Linked DNA regions of Arabidopsis thaliana. The protein of the gene in region 1 binds, or shares a complex with, the protein of each later gene. Each region holds a gene or a part of one and is shown on either strand. Other genes may lie near its edges. A codon is read from its position in the direction of its gene.

Region 1 (9,847 bases):
ACTTTTCTCCATTTTTTACTTGGACCAGCAGCATAATGTTGACAGTTTTTTTGTTCCTTTGCATTAGTGTTTAACTAGATGATAGTAAACCATTTGAAATATGAATATACCATTTGATAATATATTTTAAGAAAAATAAAAGATGTTATGTTATTAGATATAAAAATTGTATTATAAAATAAGAAAGATCTAAATTACAAATATGAGGTGGAATTATTTTATTGGATAAAATTTGATAACAACAGTTAAACAGAAATCTAATCTTGCTTTAAATGATAATAAATATGAGAGAAATAGCTGAACAGAAATCTAGTCTTACCTAATAGGATTATGTAAAATCTAGTCTTACCTAATAGGATCATGTAGGCACTTTCAAATTTACAATTTTTAATGTGATGTTTGTATAGAACCCCTCTTCTTAGCCCAGGATTCTCTATATGTGATTACAGTTATGTTCATGGATGTCCAATGCTGGAGAGCATGAGTAGTTTTGAAACTGAAGAAAAAGCAGAGAGAGCTGCTGCAGCTCTAGGGAGAATCTTGGTGTTAGATCTAGTAATTAGGAATGAAGACAGATTACCGTGTCGTCAGCTGAGATGGCGTGGCAACCCGGCAAATCTGTTACTGACAGACAGAATTGTGTCTTCTGCAAAGCATCATGAATGTTCATTTGATGAAGCTTTTGATTCCGCCATCAAACGGTACCATCCAAAGGACTATAGATCCATTCAAAGGGAAAGAAGAGCTTCTTCCGTAGATAGCAGATCCAGGTTGAGTATCAGTGATCAAATGTTGGTCTCACAGGCTTCTGATTTTTCTGATATAACGGAATCACCTAGATCATATGATACTGGTTTAATGAGTCCAATGTCTGATAGATCAGTAGCTGCCGATTTTCACCTCGTTGCCATAGACTCGGGTGTTCCACGGCGGCCTCCTGCTGGAAAACGGGCAAGCGACCAAGAAATTTATCCAAGATTAGTTGAGTTACTCCTCAATAGTAGCCAATATTCTTCGAATTTGTTACATGAAATAACAGAAGGAAGTTTAGGATATCCACAGGCAGAAGATGGTGAAGAAACATCTAATGTTCGATCTGTAGTAACACCAGTTGTACGCGAGTTTCGAAATGGTTTCCGAGCTGGTCTCAGGGATTTGCAAGAGTTTCACATCTTCCTTGTCACCCTTCATCAGAAATTAGATGTGTTGCTTCGGGCATTTTTTAGTATGATGGACAAAACAATGTGTGCAGATTTTGACAGAGAAGACTTTGCTGTTCCTGAGTCACCTTCACATACTCATGGGCATGAGGTGAATCATTATCCATCTCCCTCAAAAGATCGGGTGCCTAGTGATAACAGCTCTGATCACAGTGAGTCAGATATGCAAAAATCAGTTCCTAGGACACCAAATTCAGAAAACAAAGAAGACGGGTCTTCGCCTAAGTCACGTGAAAGTTGGCACGGAAGATCCGGTAAAGGTGGAGAATCTCTTAGCAGTCAGCGTTTGGCAGCAAAGCTCCGTGACTTCCATAAGTTTGCAAAGGTTTGTCGCTTCGAGCTTTGATCACTATGTTCTAATTTGTAAAGTAGGTTCAGATTTTTTATAAAAAAAAAAGTTTGTCTTCTTGGATGGAAGTTCTCAGCCATTTTCTCTTTCTTCACTCTCAATATTTTCATGGTGCGTCCAGGTTGATGCTGAGTCTAATAAAGAACTAGACCAGTGGAATGAAACACTGCGGAATGAAGTGATGAAACTTTGCCAAGAGAACGGTTTCAACACTGGTTTTTTTGAGGGCAGTGATAATAACAGTTGCACAGATGCTTATGAGCTAAAGGTATCATGAAGTTTTATTATTTCCTTTTATCCTGAATATGATCTTCATTATATAATATAGTTTTTGGCAACTGAACTCAAACATTGTCTCTCTTGTTTGCATTCTCCTTGATAACAGGTTAGACTTGAGCATATTCTTGAGAGGATATCATTGATTAGCAAAGCTGCTAATACAGAGAAACCATCAATGATACAAGAAAATCTTTTTATCGGGGGAGGATTGGCTGCAAGGTCGATTTACACTCTTCAGCATTTAGGTATAACTCATGTTCTATGTTTGTGCGCTAATGAAATCGGGCAATCGGATACTCAATACCCGGATCTCTTCGAGTACCAAAACTTCTCAGTAAGTGAACCTGTCTTATATGTCTCTTAAAAGGAATTGGTAAAAAAAAATGCATCTATAAAGATGATCGTTTTCTTCTTGTGTCTTCCCTTTGACCAGATAACCGATGATGAAGACTCAAATATCGAGAGCATCTTTCAAGAAGCTCTCGATTTCATCAAGCATGGCGAAGAAACTGGTGGCAAGATTTTAGTTCATTGCTTCGAAGGTCGGAGTAGAAGCGCAACAGTAGTGCTTGCTTACCTAATGCTCCAAAAGTAAGTTGTTGGGGACAAATAAAATTTGTTGGAAATTTTCAATACTTGTTCTCATTTGTTTACTGGTGGGAACAATAAATAGGAAGCTCACACTTTTAGAAGCATGGAGCAAACTGAGGAAAGTTCATAGACGAGCTCAACCGAATGATGGATTTGCGCGGATCTTAATAAACCTCGACAAGAAATGTCACGGGAAAGTATCAATGGAGTGGAGACAGAGGAAACCGACAATGAAAGTGTGTCCGGTTTGTGGAAAGAACGCAGGTCTAAGCAGCAGTTCTTTGAAGCTTCATCTCCAGAAATCTCACAGGAAACTGTCTTCGGGAAGTGTTGACAGTGCAATGAACATGGAGATTCAAAAGGCTTTGGAGGCTCTTAAACTCAGCACTGGCCGTGGCTCAAGTGCTAGTTCCAATTCTTTCCAATCTCATCCTGGTTAGAGAGTCCGGTTTGGTTTTATCTATGGTTTGTCCCGGTTAAAGTCTCTCTAATCGTACATCTCTGAACAAAAACATTGATCTGTTTTGTTTTGTTTTTTACTGTAACGATCTTTGTACTTGTATACGCAAGTAAATAAAAAGCCGAAAAGCTGAATAGAAGTCACTGGGAAACGTCATAATAAGCTAATGTAACATTTGTAACTCTTTTTCCCTTGTGCTTTGTGTTAAGAAAGTAAGATTTGGCCCAAAAATGTCATAAAACTAAAAAATTGATTGCGTAATCAAACAAAAGTTCCCTTTCATTTTCGATATAATAAACTAAAAAAATTTGACATTCTTTCCGGCGTGCACATTGATGAAAGTGAACTCTTGTTAACTTTCATTTGTGACTTGTATGGAGTACAAGACGTGCGTGATGTGCCAGACGACGGAGAAAGATGAAGGAATCATGAGGTGGTATATGTATGAAGAATGGCTATGGAAAGCAGACAAAGTAAAAATTGATTGAAATATTGGGGAACATAAATGCAAATCTAATTTGATGTTAAATCTATGTGGGAAATCTGATAACGGTGGATCGTCTTTGTGGACCAACTTGGTGTTAGCTTTTTTTCCAACTACTTATTAATTTATCCATTCCTTTGTTAATGACTAGTCTCTCCTTTAAGTCATCCTTTAAGTTGCTTTTGTATCTCCACTTTATTCTCTGCCTTCTTTTTCATGGGAAAGTTGCACATCAGAAGCACCAATGAACTTGTAATGAACTCCTTCAAAAAAATTTCTGATATTATATCTTAAGCGATGTCCTCTCTCCTACATTTTTGTTTGTTTATTGTTTACCAATTTCTTGAATAACAAGTTAATTTGTTTCTTCAAAAAGTGTAGAAGCCCACTTTTGTAACGGACGTTAAGATTGCGCTTTAGTTGGTGAAATTTTATATGTTAGGTAGTTCACGTATTTTGTTGTTTGGAGAAATATTAATAAATGGCATTAAATGGAAATCGAATCCATTCTTTGAAGCAGTGTGGGTCCAAACATGGAGCACAAGTGTTATAAAAGACTTGAGGCTGAGAAGTAACGAAGAGACATGAAAAAGAGGACAATGACCAAAGGTGGTACATAACACACGTATGACTCGTCCTTACTTTGCTGTCCACAAAATTCTCTCATAAAACTAAAACCTACCACCGATTTTTTCTCCTCTCTCTCTCTCTCTCAAAATCTGCCCCGGCTCTTCTTTATCGGACGCGTAGTATCAATATCGATATTTTAACCCCGTGATCTATGCTTATCTTTTCTTGGTTATATGGTTATAGAGAACCGTTATCTGTTTTTGATACCTGTAAATAATATAATAGAAATGCTTCTTAGACCCGACATTCGTAAATAATATAATATCGAGAATCAAATAAGTTACATGATTCGGATTTTCATTAGGAATTGGACAACTATCGAGAATGGTTATGGCATATTTATACATGTTGACCACTTATTTGTGAGTGGTTATTATCCCGGATATAAAATGATCATCTAAGTGAAAATTTTTGAATCCGTCCAAACATTTCTACTATTGATCCGAATGACAAAATCAAGATAAACTAGTACTCCCTCTATTCATAATAGTTTGATGTTTTGGATTTTGACGCTTATTAAGAACTCAATTATTGTTTAATCATTTTAACATTTTTCTTAGTGTTATAAGACAATAAAAATAAAGAAAAATGCTAGAAAATCAATTTTTATGAAACAAAAAACAAAAGCTAGAGCATCAAACTTTTAGGAACATATGGAGTATTTGGTATCAAACGATTTCGTCTATACGATATGGCAATTTTAAGCGTATATGTCTCTTTCTAGCTTTGAAAGTTGATTTGATATAGAAGAAAATTGACTATTCTGTAAAATAAAAAGATTGTATAAGTGCATTGAAGCCATGAAGGCTATAATTTATTTATATTTTTTTTGGTGAATCAAGCAATTGAAAGTAACCAGATAGGAAAATGCTACGTCTTTTTCAATCACATCGTCGAAAGTTGTACATTTTCTAACAACAACAAAGTAATTCAAATCAAATCCTAAATGCCTACTACGATTGTAAAACTAAACAACAACAAAGTAAGTTAAAATTCAAACGTTGATAAGAAACTATTTACTTTGTTAGTTTTGGTGTAGGAAAAAGTAAGTGGTACAAATAGACGTTTTGTTTTTGGTTTTTAATGTTTCGGTGTTACCATTACGATCATCTCATCATTGTAATTTACGAACAACCTCAATCTAATGGTCAGTGAAGATTTATTGTGATAGTAGTCGAAATGTTACTATCTTTTTTATTCAACATTTAGTTAACGTCCTTTCGCCTACTACAAGTCAATCAATTTAATACAAGAATTTGCCATGTTTGGCTATATAAGTAGCCACGACAACAAACTTCACACTTTCTTGCCTGAAATAGAATTCACATGGGACCTTTCTCTGACATTTGCATAGGAATAGATAAACTCATAGAATAAAAATTCATACGTGGATTAGTAATAAACCCAATTATTTACTGAGGGAAAAACAAAAAGCCATATTAAAATGAATATTATATTCTAATGTATTAAACTATTAATAAAAAAAATTCTTTTGAATGGGATTGGTTTTCGATTGGTCCGAAACCCCAGAAGCAACAGTCATTACTCTGTTTTCATATGAACACTCTTCATCCTCACAAGCAGCAACAAGAACAAGCACAACAACAAGAAGAAGCTAGATACGAATGGGATCTTTCTCTCTCCACCGTCGTATCTTCCTCCTCCTCCTCCGCCTCCGACGTTATCGGAGCTATTGAATTCGATCCCACTGATAACATCGTCGCTACCGCCGGGATTTCAAGAAAGATTCGTTTTTACGGCCTCCCTTCTCTTTTACGTAACAACGCTGTCTCCGGTACCGGAGTTTCCTTCGTCGATCAAGCCACCGCCTGCGAATATTACATCTGTACTCCGGCGAAACTTAGTAGTCTCCGGTGGAGACCCGGGTCGGGCGGTCGGGTTATTGGGTCGGGAGATTACGACGGCGTAGTGATGGAGTACGATCTTGAGAAGAGGACGCCGGTATTCGAAAGGGACGAGCACGGTGGTCGTCGTGTATGGAGCGTAGATTACACTCGTCACGGCGGCGCTTCGACGGTGGGCGCGTCGGGATCGGATGACGGGACTATGCAAGTATGGGATCCGAGGTGTCCGCCGGAAGAATCTGTCGGTGTTGTACGACCGGCGGGGATTTGCCGGAGTGCTGTTTGTTGCGTCGAGTTCGATCCTTCCGGTGGACCAGCCGTGGCCGTCGGATGCGCTGATCGGAAAGGGTACGTTTACGATATAAGGAAACTCGTTGACCCGGCGTTGACTTTACAAGGTCATACGAAAACGGTGTCGTATGTGAGGTTCCTCGACGGTGGGACGGTGGTGACGGCAGGTACGGACGGTTGTTTGAAGCTGTGGAGCGTGGAGGATGGGCGCGTGATTCGCACGTACGAAGGGCATGTGAATAATCGGAACTTCGTGGGGTTATCTGTGTGGAGAAACGGCGCGTTGTTTGGTTGTGGATCGGAAAACAACAGGGTGTTTGTGTACGATAGGAGATGGGGGAAGCCGGTTTGGGTAGATGGGTTTGAACCAGTTGGTATGAATTCTGGTTCGGATAAGCGGTTCGTGAGTAGCGTCTGTTGGAGGCAATCAGGTGTGGACCAGTGTACCCTAGTGGCTGGAGGATCTGATGGAGTATTACAGGTTTACGTGGGCAAAAGAAAACCATAGTGTTCTTCTTAATTTATCATTACTATATTTTATGAATTATGATGATGATGATGATGATGATGATGCTTCTTAATTTCTTTTCTTTTTTTCAAATTTAATTTCCTATTTGAGATGATTTTTGATTGAGTTGTGAGAGCATACGATCTGTTTGTTTTTTTTTTTAATTTATAAAGGATTTTTTACTTGTTCAATATCTTTGTTGTTACTCAGAAATTTGAGTTTTTAATCCATAAATTTTCATTACCTATTTATTATACGATATTTGGGAATGACTTTCTTCAAGTGTTTGATCACAAAAGTAGCTAGTAGCTACAAGTTTGTTGGTAGATATAAAATAAATTTTATTGCATTCGTCTACCTTATCTAGTGTATACATCACGAGATTAGTTATTTTTGCTTTTTTGGGGCTTCACAATAGAATTATTAAAAATAAAACTATAATGGTTGATGAAATGAGAAAAGCCTAATCAATCTAGCTATGTGGTAAGCTTGTTTTTTTAATCACATCTTATTTAATTCTATGTTTTTTTAGTAAGAAAAAAGGCCATGTTCTGGTTTAATCGTCCTGAAACTCAAAGAGTAAAGTCGTTTTAAACAACAGAATTTGTGCACCACATTTCTTAAAGAATCATATTTTTGTGGGTGCTTCGTATCGTGCCACAATGATGGTTTTAATCACCTTTGAAAATCTTAATATAGAAGACCTAAAATTCATTACGCAACGGAAAGAGTTATAACAATTTAGATTTGTCGCCCCACATAAAAGAAAGTTTTGTGCAAAGTAGTCCTTCACTCCTAAATGCCTACTTCATGCATTTGCTGATCTCAAACAATAATTAAGTGCATGAGAGAATATACTAATCTACACTTACTAGATAGTAGATACGTGCATATAAAATAATAGGTTCGTGGCCAATAACTAAAGCTAATTCAAGAATTTAGAGACGCCATATACTAATTTACACGTCCTGTCACCATCCACTAAATATCAATGAACTCAAGACCAACACAAAACCACTTGCTAAAGATAGGCAAACGTGTAACGCCTTTCTTCGTATAATTGTATTTACAAGTTCACTGTGTATTCTTTTTTGGCAGCGTTCAATATTTATATTCAATCGCAGAACAAAAGAAAAAATAAACAACACAAAACTGGCAGTGAGTGAGAGCAATTCAAGACAGGCAAACAAATGTGATTTAGTACAAAAATAGACGGTATATAGAACACAACACAACCGGATAAGACTTACAAGATCATAAAGAAGTATACATTTCTAATACTAGGAAAGAATCCATATGTAACCGCTTCTGGAGAGTAGTCTGAGGCTCAGATTCGTCGGTGGTCAGGAGCTTCGATCATCGATAAGTTATCGTCTGATTTACCATTTCTATGTCTTGTTGTCTTCATCAAGATCGCTACATTTTAGGTACATTAGGAAATCTATGGTGGTCTTTCGTTATGATCAAAATAACTCTTTCATAGATCAAAGAGGCTGCCACCCAACTTCTACTTTTCTTTAATATAGATTTTTGAATGCAATGTGTTCTTATGGTTTAGTAGGGTATGCCCAAAAAAACACAAATAACCATGATAGTAACAGATAGAAGAATTCATTTGACAAAAATAAACAAGTCCACTTCTTTTTTCTTAAACTACAAAAACTTCTGTGTAGCCAAGTGATTTTGAGAGATTTGCAAATTTCAAGAGTTGAATATAGTAGAGTTGTTCAACGAAAGTGCGTAGATTTGTATTTCGTCTGTGATAATCAAAGTCTCCAACAAAAGGGATCTTTAAACAAAACATTAAAACATTCCGAAATCAAAATCAAACCAAAATCTCCCATGACTTTCAAAACTCTTACACTCCAGTGAAGGCCTTTTTACCAAAGGCAGATGCACCCGCTGGAATCACCTTCAGCACATTGAACCTAACCGTCTTCGACAACGGCCTGCAACATAAATCACAAACAATCAGAAATCGTTTTCCGGCACTACCTGAATCATAAAAAGGTATAAGACAACCTAATACTCACCTGCATTGGCCAATGATGACATGGTCACCTTCCTTGACACGGAAACACGGTGAGACATGGGCAGGGATGTTGGAATGTCTCTTCTCATATCTAATGAAAAATTTAAGATAATCGTTTATCAGCATTGATGTTATATCTTTGCGCAGCTCTATCAAGAACATAGGTTCATCACAATGTACTTACCGTTGATACTTCTTCACAAAGTGAAGGTAATTCCTACGAACAATGATGGTTCTCTGCATCTTGGCACTGTGGCAAGTACCAGCTAAGATACGTCCTCTGATAGAAACGGTTCCAGTGAATGGACATTTACTGTCAATGTAAGCTCCTGTTCCACACAATAAACATATCAAAGATTACAAAACATCTCTCAAATTTTCGGTTTTGCTTCAAACCTAATCAAAGCAAACAGCACTCAGTGATATTCAGCTAAACACCAACAACAAAATCTCTAATTTTCAACAGAAAAACTTTGATTATACTGTTAACCACCTAATACACAACACTAAATCAACTATTCAGATCAAAGTTTGAAGCTTTCGCTTAAATGATAATCAGAAGTATGAGGAAAAACAACAAACCATCAATGGCTTCACGAGGAGTCTTGAAACCCAAACCAATGTTCTTCCAGAAACGGTTTCCACCTTTACCAGGTCTCTTTCCTTTCCCAGATATCTTCGAGCTGAAACACACAAAAAAAAAACATAAATCATATGAATCGATTTGTAAATGGAAGTAATAAGATTCTCAGATTTGTTCAGATGAATTTACCTAAGGAAGACCTTGGGTTGCTTAAGAAAAGCTTTCTCAGTCTACAAAAGAAAGAAGAGAATGAGAATCGTAAAGAGTATCTATCAGAATGTAGAAATGAACACAAAGGAATGAAAATGAACCTGCTCAGCCATGGCTACTGATTGCTGCTCTCCACGGAGCTCTGAGGCAAAAAGGATGAAGAAAATGCGAGAGGCAAAAGAAAGCGAATGAGAGTAATCTCAAGTAGTGAAGCTCCGGAAGAAACCCTAGTTTCGAAGATCTCTCTCTTTATTTGGGTTTGGGCCTTTGTTTTATGGGCCGTGATTTACATTTTATTAACCGGCTACTGAAATGTTGGGCCCTTTTGGGCCAACTTTGATCCAC
Region 2 (13,136 bases), about 18 Mb from region 1:
TAGAAATTATAATGGTAGATAATAGCACTTGCATGACAAATTCGATTCTCTCTTCTCATCATGCATTTTTGCTTTACATTTTGTTCCTTTAAACCAAGAATATTTTGACTCACCTAAAAGATAAACCAAACATATCTGAAATCTACAATTGACAATTAACTTCTCTTTTTCTTTTCTCTTATTCTTACTGAAATAAAAATAGTATGCAACTGGTCTTTATAAATTTCAGTTTTATATATTTAAAAAAAATCTTCTATACCAAGTTTACCAACTCATGGTAGTCCAATGATTAAAAAATAAATCATTATGGGGTTAGGACTTAGGAGATCGAATTCGAATCATTTCAAATTTTCAATGCGATTTCAATCATTGTTTTTCACTGTTAACACTTTGAAATATCTAAGTGTATCTAAAAATTTCAAGCCTTAGAGATTAATTTGGACTTCGATCCGGAATTCTGCGACGACTATCAAACAAATTTTGTTTTAACCGAAATATAGATTATTTGCATCTCTGATTATCAAACCATTCATTCTTTTTATTATTATTCAGTTTACTATAAAGTATATGTCCCTCCCTTTATGAACCGTATCAAATACTATACATAGTATGCATGTTCGAAGAAATTTCCAACATACTAATTTGAAATCAACGAACATATCAAATTATAATGCGTTGATGCAGAATATATGCTTTCTATATATATAACTTAAATACAAAAACCTAAATTTTCCATATGCCTTCGTAATTTAGTATATAAATATTCATTCATTCTTAATACAGCCTAGGACTCGGTAGCATTTTGAAGTAGGAACGAATTTTGTTAATTAAGATACATGAGTGATTAGATCGAATCCAAAAGGTATGGAGGCGTAGAACAAGAATTTGGTTCTCTTTCATTTTACGTATCTTTCACTAAAGAATAGAGAGAAAACAAAACCATGCAAAAACCTCTCAAAAATTATATATTGAACGCTTAGACAAAGAGCCAAATTTATTCGCTTTTTGATGTTTACATCAGTATTTGTTTCTAGCTAGTTCATATTATTTAAACTCCATAATCATTTGAAAGACATAAAATACAGATGTTTAAGATCTGTGGATGTTTATATAGGATCTTCGAATTCGGATAATGAAATCATTTATACACTATTAAGTATTAACTTTGTAGAGGACTTAAGTATTCGAAATCTTGATTCAGGTTGTCAATCAAGAACCGTAATGTTTGATCTATAGAGCCATGGGATTAATGGATGCTAAAAGAATAAAACACTCGAGAAGAAGAGTACACGTAAAATCACTCACACACAAAGAATGAGAGATGGGAGAAGAATACTACAAAGTGTTTGTTTTTTTTAAATCGGCTCATATATAAATTTGGGCGATACTCTACTACCCACATTATTCTTTTAAACAATGATATAAATGTGTATGGCCTATGTAGCCGAACTTTTTACATATCTGACCTGTATATATATAATAATTATTTATCAAAGAAATTAGAGAAAGATTCTTCCACTTTTGATGGCTTATAAAAGATGATGACCCAAAACACTCAAAATGCAGCAGCAACTGCTCTCTCACCACCCATCTCCTCATTTCTCTTTTGCATTTCTTTCTTTTTTTCTGCATTGCATTCTTTTGAGGGGTTTAATTTTCTGCATAGCTTTGTCTAATCTCTTAGAGCTCAATAAGAGAAGGTACTATAACTGATCTCTCCCTCTTTCAAGTTTTTTTTTTGTTTGGTTTATAGAAAACTATAACCGCCATTATCCGTTAGTTTTAACCGTTTTTTGAAACTAGTGAATCCTCATAACTTTGGTTTCTCACTAAAAACAGATGGATGTTCCACGGCCAGCTTTCAAATGTTTTGATGACGATGGCCGGCTTAAACGTTCAGGTAAAAAATTTAAATCCCCTTGTTGGTTACTTGACAGTTTACACCTTTGAAATGAATGATCCAAAGAGAAAAACTGCGATTGTTTCAGGGACGGTTTGGACCGCGAGTGCGCATATCATAACCGCCGTGATTGGATCTGGTGTTCTATCGCTTGCGTGGGCTATAGGTCAACTCGGTTGGATCGCAGGTCCTACAGTGATGTTGTTGTTCTCTTTTGTCACTTACTACTCTTCCACGCTTCTTAGCGACTGCTACAGAACCGGAGATCCTGTCTCTGGGAAGAGAAACTATACTTACATGGACGCTGTCCGATCAATCCTAGGTATCAACTATCGTCTCTCTGTTTTCCTCCGCATATGCTTTGATTGCTCTGTTTTTGGGTTGTTTCTCTCTGTTTTGTTCTGTTTTACTCTGTTTTGTGTTCTGAAATGCTCTGTTTCTGGCAGGTGGCTTTAGGTTCAAGATTTGTGGGCTGATTCAGTATTTGAATCTGTTTGGTATCACGGTCGGGTACACAATCGCAGCATCTATAAGTATGATGTGAGTCTTTCTTTCTCACAAACTAGTTTATTTTGGAACACCATATAATGAGATAAAAGGCCTTAAAAATTTGGTTGTATCGGATCGAGTTTCAGGGCGATCAAGAGGTCCAACTGTTTCCACGAGAGCGGAGGGAAAAACCCGTGTCACATGTCGAGCAATCCATACATGATCATGTTTGGTGTGACCGAGATCTTGCTCTCTCAGATCAAAGATTTTGACCAGATTTGGTGGCTCTCCATTGTCGCTGCTATCATGTCCTTCACATACTCTGCAATCGGTTTAGCTCTCGGAATCATTCAAGTCGCGGGTAAAAGAAAATTACTTTGTAAGACTCTTCGCAGTAATCAACAAAGCAGAGGGTTTAACTAACTCTAATGTGTTTCAGCAAATGGAGTTGTCAAGGGAAGTCTCACCGGAATTAGCATCGGCGCAGTGACTCAGACCCAAAAAATATGGAGAACCTTTCAAGCACTTGGAGACATTGCCTTTGCTTATTCATACTCTGTTGTTCTTATTGAAATTCAGGTAAGATAAAGAACCTAACCAATATGGAATCTGTTTTCTATACGAGTTTACAAAATCTCTGACCTTTTTTTGGGGTGCATGTGGGTTTTCATTAGGACACTGTAAGATCTCCACCAGCAGAATCAAAAACGATGAAGATCGCCACAAGAATCAGCATCGCTGTTACAACGACATTTTACATGCTATGTGGTTGTATGGGCTATGCCGCCTTCGGAGATAAAGCACCGGGAAACCTCTTAACCGGTTTTGGTTTCTACAATCCGTTTTGGCTCCTTGACGTGGCTAACGCTGCCATAGTTATCCACCTTGTAGGAGCTTATCAAGTCTTTGCTCAGCCCATCTTCGCCTTTATTGAGAAACAAGCTGCCGCTAGGTTTCCCGACAGTGACTTGGTGACCAAGGAATACGAAATCCGAATCCCTGGTTTTAGGTCACCGTACAAAGTCAACGTTTTCAGAGCAGTTTACCGAAGCGGGTTTGTGGTTTTGACCACTGTGATATCCATGCTTATGCCGTTTTTCAACGACGTCGTAGGGATTTTAGGTGCGTTAGGGTTTTGGCCTTTGACGGTTTACTTTCCGGTGGAGATGTATATAAGACAGAGGAAGGTTGAGAGATGGAGTATGAAGTGGGTTTGTCTGCAGATGTTGAGCTGTGGTTGTTTGATGATCACGTTGGTCGCCGGAGTTGGCTCCATCGCCGGAGTAATGCTAGACCTTAAGGTTTACAAGCCGTTCAAGACTACTTACTAAACAAACCATGATGATGATGAAGAAGAAGAAGGTGGTGGAGAAAAAAACAAAAGATATAAATTTTAATATATTTCATTTGGGGAAATGTGAATAATGTAAAAGTTCTTCGTTTCGTATAATTTTTATCTTGCGTAATTTATATACATAATGTGTTCTCAATCTATAATTGATGTGGTGTTTATTGAAAGTTTGTTAACCAGATATGGATTTAAAGACAATAAACATACTAATAGATTTATGTAGAAAATGAATTATAGATTAACATAGATTTATGAAAAAAGGTTTTTTAAGAAAAAACAACTTGAACATAAGGTATAGTCCATTGCCGGAGTAATGCCATGAGATAATCGTAATGTATGAATAAGTGTATGTGAATATAAGAAGATTGGCGAAATGATATATGGAGTAATATTTACCCGAAATTAAAAAAGCAAGAAAGTGGTGGGAATGAAAGACTCGTGGATGAAACATCAAGAATCATTAGAAAGTTTGAAAGATGGCGACTTGGAACTGAAAAAGGTAATAACATGGAATCGAATCTAAGTGACATCGATTTGGAATAATTTAAGGGAAAGAAACCCGACACATAAAGAGAAACACTAAAAGAGCAATATGGATGGTTTTGCTTTAAAGAGAATCACCCACATAAGTTTTACCCAATAGAAAATTTTCACTAAACGCCAAATATATTAGGCAGCATAACTAGGTTGGCGGATGATGAAGGATCAATTTTTTTTCTTTTTGACATATCCATCACTTAGTCCATTAGAAATTCTTCGTATTCTAGACTCTTCGTATTGAGACTAGAATATATAGAAATACGAAACATGCATTGTGTGTTGGGCCTAAAGGCTAACCTACCCAAAAGTTGTAAACTAAAATACCCATACTACTCTCGTTCTCATCTGCGCTTCACACTTTGATAAAAAAGGAGAAGTTCAACTTGTTAATCTGTGATCACTGTTCTTCTTAAGTTTTGATCTTGATTGATAAAATTGTTTTTTTTTCCAAAATTCAAATACTCTAAAACTCAGCGGGTCACTATCAATCATATCATATTTGAATTCAAACATAGGCGGTAAAAAAATAAGACAAAAAGAAAATTCTCTTAAAACATAAGTTGTATAATGGTTGAAGGAAAAAACAGAAAACTTTTTAAGAAATGAAAGATATAGAACCAGAAGGTATTATTATGGTGAGGAAAAAAAAAGTACATACCCTAGAGACTAGTAGTAGTAGTACACACAGTTTACAACGCCCATGTAATAAGAGAGCTAGGGGGAGGGAAGCATCACAAGTTACAAACTAACAACAACAACAAAAAGTACAATCCCAAACTAGACAGACGTACTCTTAGTACAAACCTCAACCCAAAAGAGATCACTGAAAAACCTTCGAATCCAACGGAAGAACCGGAAGTAAAAAAAAAACGGAATTGACTCAGGCTCAAATTCGTACACGCTTGACATCAGTTTGTGGAACACTGATATCACCTCCATTACCTTTGCTTGAACCATCCGTTAGGCCCTAACACACAACCAAATTCAAAATCACACACATAGATTTCATCCTTGAAAACAATCCACGATCTTGACAGAGCAAGGTATAATTGTGCAGCAATGATTAATCAGTAAAATCTGGTTCTAAGCCGATATAATTGTGCCATTTGCTTTCATTGTAGTTTACGTATTGGATATAAAGTTTAGTAGAATTAACAAAATTAAGGCTTACCGTTTCATCAGGAACAACTGCATATCTCTCTGCAGGCGACACCCAGCTTTTCCCTGGTAACAAAGCAATGCAAAAGTTGAATCATTTAATCACTTGTTGAGTCGTTTACAGAAATCGTTTTAACTAGTGGTATTGTTTAAATACCTGAAGATGGATCGATATTAGAAGATTCTATATGTTGTCCACTTGCTCCATCGACGCTGAGTGCCTCTATAATCTTGGGAAAGTTCCTATAAACACCAAACCAAATATCCATTTCACATTATCAAGATAGGTAGTGAGTGGGATTGAAAAGCAATGATTTTGGTGGAAACAACGATCTTACTGGCCAATTTTCATATTCTGTTCGTAACACCAAGATATGTTAAGTGGAAAACATTGATTCATGAGCGATTAGATGATCACACTTTTACCTGTCAACCGACTCTCCAATGCCGAGCTGTCCATTTGTACCTCTACCCCAAGCAAACACGTTATTTCTTTCAGTGACAGCCAAGGTATGTCTCCATCCACATGAGACTTGAACTACTTTCTGTGAAATTCCACAATATGTGTGCATTGGAAAAGAAAACAGCGAATTGAGACATGAACTTATTAATATGATTATATAGCCGGTAAAACATTGGGACGAGCTTTCTCGTTAAACTTTTTTAGGGATAACATGCCTGATCATCGGGAAATCGCACTTGCACAGGAGAACACTGATCTAAATTATTGCCGACTCCTACTTGTCCAAACTGCAGGCTAAAAGAGAGACAATTAGAAGTTTGTTTTATTCAAGATGAGTTACTAAAGTTACCCAATATATGCATTGTTGTTTTCTTAAAATAACATCTAAGTGAATGCATATCACTCCTTAACAGCATAAAGCAACTAAATGCAAATATCAGTGAATGTGTAGATGAAAATAGGTGTTCTATACATTTCTACGAAATATAGGCCAGAAAAAAAAAAAAAAAAAGCAAGACATTCTAGACCTTATTCCAACCCCATCCATATAGTTTTCCATCTGAAGTCAATGCCATTGTATGTCTCCAACCTCCCGAAATCTGGAAAAGAAACGAACAGTAAGTCCAAAAGATGTCGAACAGAAGAAGAAAACCAACAGAAGTACATACAATGAAGCCAGTCTTCTTCAGTAGGTAATAGTTGTCAGAAAGTTTTCGAAAAACATATTATTGCTATCCCATATGTTGGATATTTCAGATGTACAAATTTGTATTTCAAGACAGATTTATAAGGCCTAAGTGAAACCTGGGAGATAAAACTGTTGCTCAGTGCTTCCAGTTTGTGAGGAATAAGGTGATCCTCCAAGTCTCCATGTCCTAGCTGTCCATATTTGCTCCATCCATAAGTATACAATGCTCCAGAGTAGGAAACTGATATTGTGTGCCGCCATCCACAAGCAACCATTGACATTTTCTCACCCTAAAATTGTAGTTACAACCAGGAAAACGAGAGTCAAGTGAGTCGAAATGAAAAGAGAATTAAGGAAAAAATTGAGGGACTAAAATGCAGAAATAGAAGTTGGTAAAAAGGTGAGGTTGCGTGATATCAATGTTATATGAACTAAATTTCATTTCATGAACTGTGCAGATTCAGGATACCAAACTTTGATCATTCTAAAAGTTTTATGGTCACTTCCCTGACACCCACCAACTGAAATTAGACTGCATATACGTGTGACTCCATCAATATAGACAGCTAATCCAGAATAGTGCAGTGCATATTGAGCTATTCACGATTTCTTTCACGTATACTGAACTTCAAATGCAAGTTTAAACAAGTAGCAGGTGCTTAAACAAAAATTATAGAACAAGAGTCTTCTAGCTTACACCAGTAGAGGTAACTCTTTCAGGAACTAAGCGGTCAGTCCGGTCACCTAATCCCAAATTTCCGTATCTTCCCCAGCCCCATCCATAGAGGTCACCATCTTCTGTAACTGCAGCAGTGTGTTCTGCACCAGCAGCAACCATTTTGATTCGTATTCCCTGCACCCATTACAAGTTTAAAGTGTTGATGTAACAATGGAGATCAGCGAAACTAACAACATAAACTCAGGGTCTCTAATCACTTAATCTTCTAGTTTACCTAGTCCGATAAATTATCAATAAGATCCTACCTTCTATCTGTGTTTTGCAGATAGTATAACACATAGACATCCAATTTAGTATCTACCACTCCTAAAATTATGTAACTTAAATTATGATTCTGAAGACATCTTCACCAGATGTGGACCCTTAACTAGTAACAGTCATATGTTTAAGAAGATCAAGTTGCAGAAATAGACCCAACATTGACCCAATTCTGAAGCATAGTATTTGGCAAGTTGAGGAAACTACAACGAAAAAAGATGTTAGAAGAATATTTAGTGATACAAACCTCAAAGGCTTGAATCTTCTGAGGCACTAGAGAATCTTCGGTGTCCCCCAGACCAAGTTGACCATTCTGGTTGCGGCCCCAACTGTATAAACAGAAGTCAAAGAGATATGTTGGAAAACAAGACAAGACAGACAAAACGTTTAAAAGGCAATGTACACAATAACCAAGATATATAGAAATGACACAGGACGCAATCGACATTATCAAATTCCGATGAAATTCATCTAATTGAGCTGAGATGTAAACTGTAAATGATTGCACATAAGGAGAAGAACAATAACAAAGAGAAAATACCTCTGGACCTCTCCTTCCATAGTGACAGCCAAACAATGACTATCCCCACAAGCAATCTGCTTGATCCGAATACCGTGCAATGCTTTGATTGGTAGCGGAGTAAACAAGTCGCTTGAGTTACCATGGCCTAATCTCCCAAAATCACCCCTGCAAAGTACACATAAAGGTTAGAGAACACGAGGCTTAAAATATGTGCAAATGAGTGTATAATTAGTTACTGTTTTCTACACAAAAATCTAGAGAGGAACTAGTGGTCATCATCTCATCCCGAATATATCAAACAGACTGAAGAGCAATTGATTCAGCAGCAAAGAAGAAGATAATGATGAGAAACAAACCATCCCCAACTGTAGACTTCCATGCCTGATTGTGAATAAGCAACAGTGTGATCAGCACCACAGGTAACGGAAACAATTTGGTGGCCATCTAAAGCGCTAAGCTGAGTCGGAGAAGGTCGATCCTCTGCATCGCCATGACCTAACTGTCCATCCTCTCCTCGACCCCAAGAACAAACAATGTCACCAGCTACAAAATCAAAACATAAAACTACTCATTAGTAGACGACGAAAGTAAGGGAAACTCGATTAAAGGCCAGATCAAGAGAATTCGCGAAGAGCACAGCCTACTAAAGCAGCGGATTTCACAATTCCGGTGATTATTTGAGTCCGTAATAGAAAAGGAAAAAAAACAGCGAAGAAGAAGAGAGACGTACAGAGAAGAGCGACGGAGTGGCTAGCACCAGCGGAGATGATAAGAACCTTACGAGGAGGAGCCGTAACTTCGTCGGCAGCCATATCCTCCGCCATGGATCACAGTTGCAGTTTTCACAAGATATTTTTTTTGGGGAGAAATGAATTTTGAAAAAAGTAAGAAATTTCTATTTTTTGATAAATTGGGAAATTTTGTAGCTTCTCTTTCACTATCCGTAATCTCTCGAGGGTTGAACAAGGAAAGACAGAGAGAGAAAGCGGTAGATGGTAATAAAGGCGCGATGGAGATTTGCACATGTCATATATCTGCTTTTTGACTTTTTTACTTTTGCTGGTTTTTTTATTTTTTGTTTTAACCGTACAGTAAATCTCTTTTTTGTCGTACAGGCTTTAATTGCAAAAGGGTCCCTCTTCACTTAATAAATCCAAATACGGACCTCACCGGTAAAGTTTTATACTTTCATAATTTCACCATTTCTTTTTTTTTTTGTTTCTTGACCATTTCATTTACCTCTTCACATAAGTAGATTTAAGCCAGTACACATGACATTCTAGATCGTAACTTGTGTTTTATGTGTTCATCATTCACAGGTGTAAGGCGCATAGATCGTAAGAGCCTAATCATATGTTTTTAGTCATGCACACGTGTGAAAGTATACACGTTAGTCAAAAAAAATTCTGAGTTTCATAGTCCAAAGTGACATATCCAATTTGTCTTTTTAGTTATAAATATTCAGTTCAGCTATTTTAGTTTTTCAAAGAGGTCAAATTAAACCTGGATTACAATATGGTGTACAGTTTGTCTTTTTATTATGATTCTGATTATCATATGAAGATACGTCTTGCTACATGTTATTTTATTCAATTATTCAAAATGCATGGTTCTACATATGGAAATATACAGATATACGGTCTACTTACAACTTGATTTTTTTTTTTTTTGTTAAATTACAACTTGAAGATTCTACTATCAACAAAACAAAAACAAAAAAAAATCTTCTATCGATCGAGCGAGATATTCAAATCAAAATACATGGTCAACAGGTCAACTATAGATTCAAAATATATGAATACCTAAATATTCAAATTAAGATATATCAATTCACGATCTAAAACATCCAAATATAGATTTTGCGAAAACGGCCAAAGAAATTATACATAACGGATAAAAATAAATAAAAAATTACATACGGATACTACTTAGTAGTACTTACTAGATTACCTAAAACCCATAATCTTACATATACATATGGATAAAGGTAACATCGATGAATTACTTGTTTCATCCGATCTGGAACGAATATATCACCTCGCTCGACCTAACATTTATGTGAAACTAAAAGGTTGTTTACATTGAGATAAAACCAACATTATATGCTTGTCAGTGAGGGAAGTTGTGACATCTATTATAGTAAGAAAATTAAATGAATGAAGATATTTTTGCATTGCCTGATACATGCATTATATGTATTGTCCAATTTTGGCATTAAAGTCAACGAGACAAAACTCTAGATCAAGATGGTCTCTAATGTTGACATTTGTTGCGACCTCTTTCAAATGGGTTCATCTCATCATTCATCACACAAATTTGTTGCATTATCTTTTATAATCTTGTTAAATAAACATCATTACGAACAATTTGTGGAAAAATGGAAATTATATGAAAGCCATTGGAAGTACTATATACAATTTAATGCACATGACTTCAACAGAAAATACTAGAGAGACAAGATAAGACACCTATAATAATTTAAGCTTGACATGAAGTGCTAAACAATTACTGTTTAGAGACATATATGCACATGAAACTAGGAAAGAAAAAACATTGCGGTGAGTACATGTCAATGATTGTCGATGAACAAATTACAAAACAGTAAAAATCAACACCCACCCACATGGGTTCCGGTATAAGGGTCAAGTTTGGCGATAACACAAATTTTAGGGTTTGCAAAAATGTTGTAACCATAATCGGTGATGAAATATGGAAGATCATGTGAATATTTAGATGATGAAACTATTTGGCTGAAAAGACAGTTAACTTTAAGCTTTATTACTTGAGATGCCCCGTGACAGACAACGAATGACCTTGGAGAGAATCACACAGATGATGCTAGAGGTAGCTTTAATGTGTTATATTTGCGAATGAAGATGCTTCACGCTCCTGTCGAATTCTTCTCTCTTTAGAGAAAGAACAGACCATTATTAGTTTAGCCCACTCAAGAGAAAAAACCGAAAACAATTGCAATAAATGCTTCAAAGTGCAATAAGGAACCATAAGATAGTTAGCATCAACCTCCACTTCATACTGTCTTTTACAAGAAGACATACATTCATCTGAACAAATTGCTACCAAATTCGGCATTTAATAAGCTGTCTCGTTACTTAGGATTTTCATAACCACACAATTTTTTGTTGGATAAGATTCTAGTAATGTGTCAATATTTCAAAGGAAAACTATAATGCCGACAGACACATAACTTGATCCACAAACTTCCATTGGACTAATCTACTACTCGATTTATCATTCAGTTAAAAGCAATTCTATACAATGAAAGTTACTGCAAGTTTGACCTCTCAAGATTTAGGCTAACCTGACAAAACAGAGCAAAATCTTACAAGATTTAGGTTTAAATAAGACGTGTAGGAACCAAGAAACTAAGAACTACATGAGATTTAAGATGGTTCTTATTTCTTCATCTTCCATACATAACTTAAATGTGAATTCTACAAATGATTTTCTTCATCTCTTTTCTTTACATTTGATTCCATTTTATGTTTGCAAATAATGAGCAATCACAACAACTGTAAAAAACATCAATTCAAGATACTCCTTTTCAGCTTCGGTCAGCTATTTGGTTGTTCGTTATTGGTGTCCATTGCTGACTTATCCATCTCATCATCAGAATCAATGACATTTTCAAAGTCATAATATGGATGCGCCTGCACATTTAAAAACCGATGTCGCTATGTATGTGTATCAAAGAAGTAAAACAACTCGTTGGTTCATTATCAGCATCGTAAGTTAGTTACCTTTGGTCGCGGTTTAACAGCTTCGAAACTATGAAATTGAGGATCCGAGAAATCAGGCGCCTGCAAAATAATATATGCTCCTTTGTTTTTGTACCTCTCTTCTGTTGCCTACACCACACACAAAAATGATTGTTAACGCATATCTTTAGAAAATGCAAATACCAAAGGCGTAAAAATACATACTTGGAATTGCGGATAGTCAGGTGCACTGAAAATAGTGATAAGCTTTCCGGATTCGACATTGTGGTCTATTGTATATCCATTGTCCATTCCACCAAGACCAGTTCTCTTCTCTCTAGCATCTGGACCTTCATGTGATCTGATGATCAACTGCACCAATAAGTGTAAAACATTTGATCCAATCATCCATATCAGTATTTGGGAAGCAAACAAGCATCAATATCTACTTTGGTGTCACCTTCAGTTCATATTTCTTCAAAAAATCCTCTGTACAATCGGGACCCCAAAGAAGACCAATGCCTCTCTGTTCATTTGGTGAAAGGCCCGGAGTCATTGAAGGATCAGACCATAAAACGTCTCCTGGTATCAAGTTTGAACCTTCCCAAGGAGGATCAAGAACTGATCTTCGAGCTTGCATCAACTCATCTAAGGTACCGAGTTTCATTGAGCTCGGCTCAGGTTCCAGAAGAACTACCCGACGGTTCTTTTTCCCCCTTGTTGTTCGCTTAGGCAAGACTGGGCTGCGGAAAAGCCCTCCATGTGCTGTATAAACACGTCCAGAAATTATGGAAGCCAAAGGAAGACCTTCAAAGCAACCCAAACATTTCCGGTACACATGTTTTCCCTTGTCTCCGTATTTTGTAAGCACTTCCTTCTCGAAACCATACATAGATGTACAATACTTTGACTCATGATTACCACGGAGTAGGTAGACTCTGTCCGGCATCAAAACCTAAACAACCAAAAAGATATGTGCTTTAAGAATACTAAGACTTGAGCCAATAGTAAAACAGCTTAGTAAAGAGTTTACCTTCCAGGACAAGAGAACAAGGAAGGTTTCAAGTCCCCAAGCACCGCGATCCACATAGTCTCCGTTGAAAACATAACACCGGTTTTGACAAGGAAAGCCAGTATCTTTCAATAGGAAAAGAAGGTCATGAAGCTGACCATGAATGTCACCAACCACAACAACGTTGGATACAGAGTCAAGATCATCGATATGAACGCAGTTACGTTCTTTGTGGAGGATTTTATGAGCGGTGAGGACGAGGGAATCAAAGACGTTGACAGGCAATAGTGAAGGTAACT

What was found.
Region 2: the proteins of RUP2 (region 1) and UVR8 are in contact, whole or in part, in a crystal structure (PDB 8GQE), measured with the Arabidopsis thaliana proteins. Residues at the interface, in NP_568435.2 of Arabidopsis thaliana: Ser37 (codon at 5,679), Ser38 (codon at 5,682), Ala39 (codon at 5,685), Ser40 (codon at 5,688), Val42 (codon at 5,694), Gly44 (codon at 5,700), Gly59 (codon at 5,745), Ile60 (codon at 5,748), Ser61 (codon at 5,751), Arg62 (codon at 5,754), Lys63 (codon at 5,757), Tyr95 (codon at 5,853), Cys97 (codon at 5,859), Pro99 (codon at 5,865), Lys101 (codon at 5,871), Leu102 (codon at 5,874), Ser103 (codon at 5,877), Tyr121 (codon at 5,931), Asp122 (codon at 5,934), Thr134 (codon at 5,970), Glu138 (codon at 5,982), Asp140 (codon at 5,988), Glu141 (codon at 5,991), Gly143 (codon at 5,997), Gly144 (codon at 6,000), Arg145 (codon at 6,003), Arg146 (codon at 6,006), Trp148 (codon at 6,012), Asp167 (codon at 6,069), Cys193 (codon at 6,147); in NP_201191.1 of Arabidopsis thaliana: Ser25 (codon at 8,861), Arg41 (codon at 8,626), Glu43 (codon at 8,620), Asp44 (codon at 8,617), Asp77 (codon at 8,518), Trp94 (codon at 8,467), Asp96 (codon at 8,270), Phe97 (codon at 8,267), Asn104 (codon at 8,246), Ser105 (codon at 8,243), Ser106 (codon at 8,240), Asp107 (codon at 8,237), Arg146 (codon at 7,908), Tyr201 (codon at 7,352), Trp233 (codon at 6,849), Tyr253 (codon at 6,789), Arg286 (codon at 6,485), Trp302 (codon at 6,437), Lys304 (codon at 6,431), Phe305 (codon at 6,188), Trp337 (codon at 5,959), Arg338 (codon at 5,956), Arg354 (codon at 5,908), Thr356 (codon at 5,902), Trp400 (codon at 5,496), Ser402 (codon at 5,490), Pro403 (codon at 5,487), Ala404 (codon at 5,484), Glu405 (codon at 5,481), Arg406 (codon at 5,478).

Annotation. Positions count from the first base shown.
Region 1 is NC_003076.8:7,999,716-8,009,562, forward strand, and holds RUP2 (Transducin/WD40 repeat-like superfamily protein), read left to right. Parts: upstream 1-5,381; 5' UTR 5,382-5,570; coding exon 5,571-6,677; 3' UTR 6,678-6,915; downstream 6,916-9,847. Other genes in the region: PHS1 (dual specificity protein phosphatase family protein), read left to right, coding at 450-1,545, 1,691-1,837, 1,955-2,182, 2,282-2,439, 2,522-2,879; RPS11-BETA (ribosomal protein S11-beta), read right to left, coding at 8,536-8,626, 8,711-8,800, 8,894-9,038, 9,292-9,392, 9,482-9,522, 9,604-9,615. UniProt on the Arabidopsis thaliana protein: Functions in association with RUP1 as repressor of UV-B-induced photomorphogenesis mediated by UVR8 and HY5.
Region 2 is NC_003076.8:25,549,655-25,562,790, forward strand, and holds UVR8 (Regulator of chromosome condensation (RCC1) family protein), read right to left. Parts: upstream 9,846-13,136; 5' UTR 9,762-9,845; intron 9,331-9,761; 5' UTR 8,934-9,330; coding exon 8,840-8,933; intron 8,653-8,839; coding exon 8,466-8,652; intron 8,275-8,465; coding exon 8,128-8,274; intron 7,916-8,127; coding exon 7,834-7,915; intron 7,443-7,833; coding exon 7,287-7,442; intron 6,880-7,286; coding exon 6,706-6,879; intron 6,501-6,705; coding exon 6,429-6,500; intron 6,189-6,428; coding exon 6,117-6,188; intron 5,984-6,116; coding exon 5,865-5,983; intron 5,682-5,864; coding exon 5,596-5,681; intron 5,505-5,595; coding exon 5,452-5,504; intron 5,248-5,451; coding exon 5,167-5,247; 3' UTR 4,762-5,166; downstream 1-4,761. Other genes in the region: AAP4 (amino acid permease 4), read left to right, coding at 1,840-1,900, 1,989-2,222, 2,347-2,440, 2,536-2,750, 2,829-2,968, 3,064-3,720; PP7 (serine/threonine phosphatase 7), read right to left, coding at 11,682-11,777, 11,868-11,975, 12,051-12,197, 12,286-12,780, 12,859-13,136. UniProt on the Arabidopsis thaliana protein: UV-B specific signaling component that acts as a UV-B photoreceptor and plays a key role in establishing UV-protective responses in plants.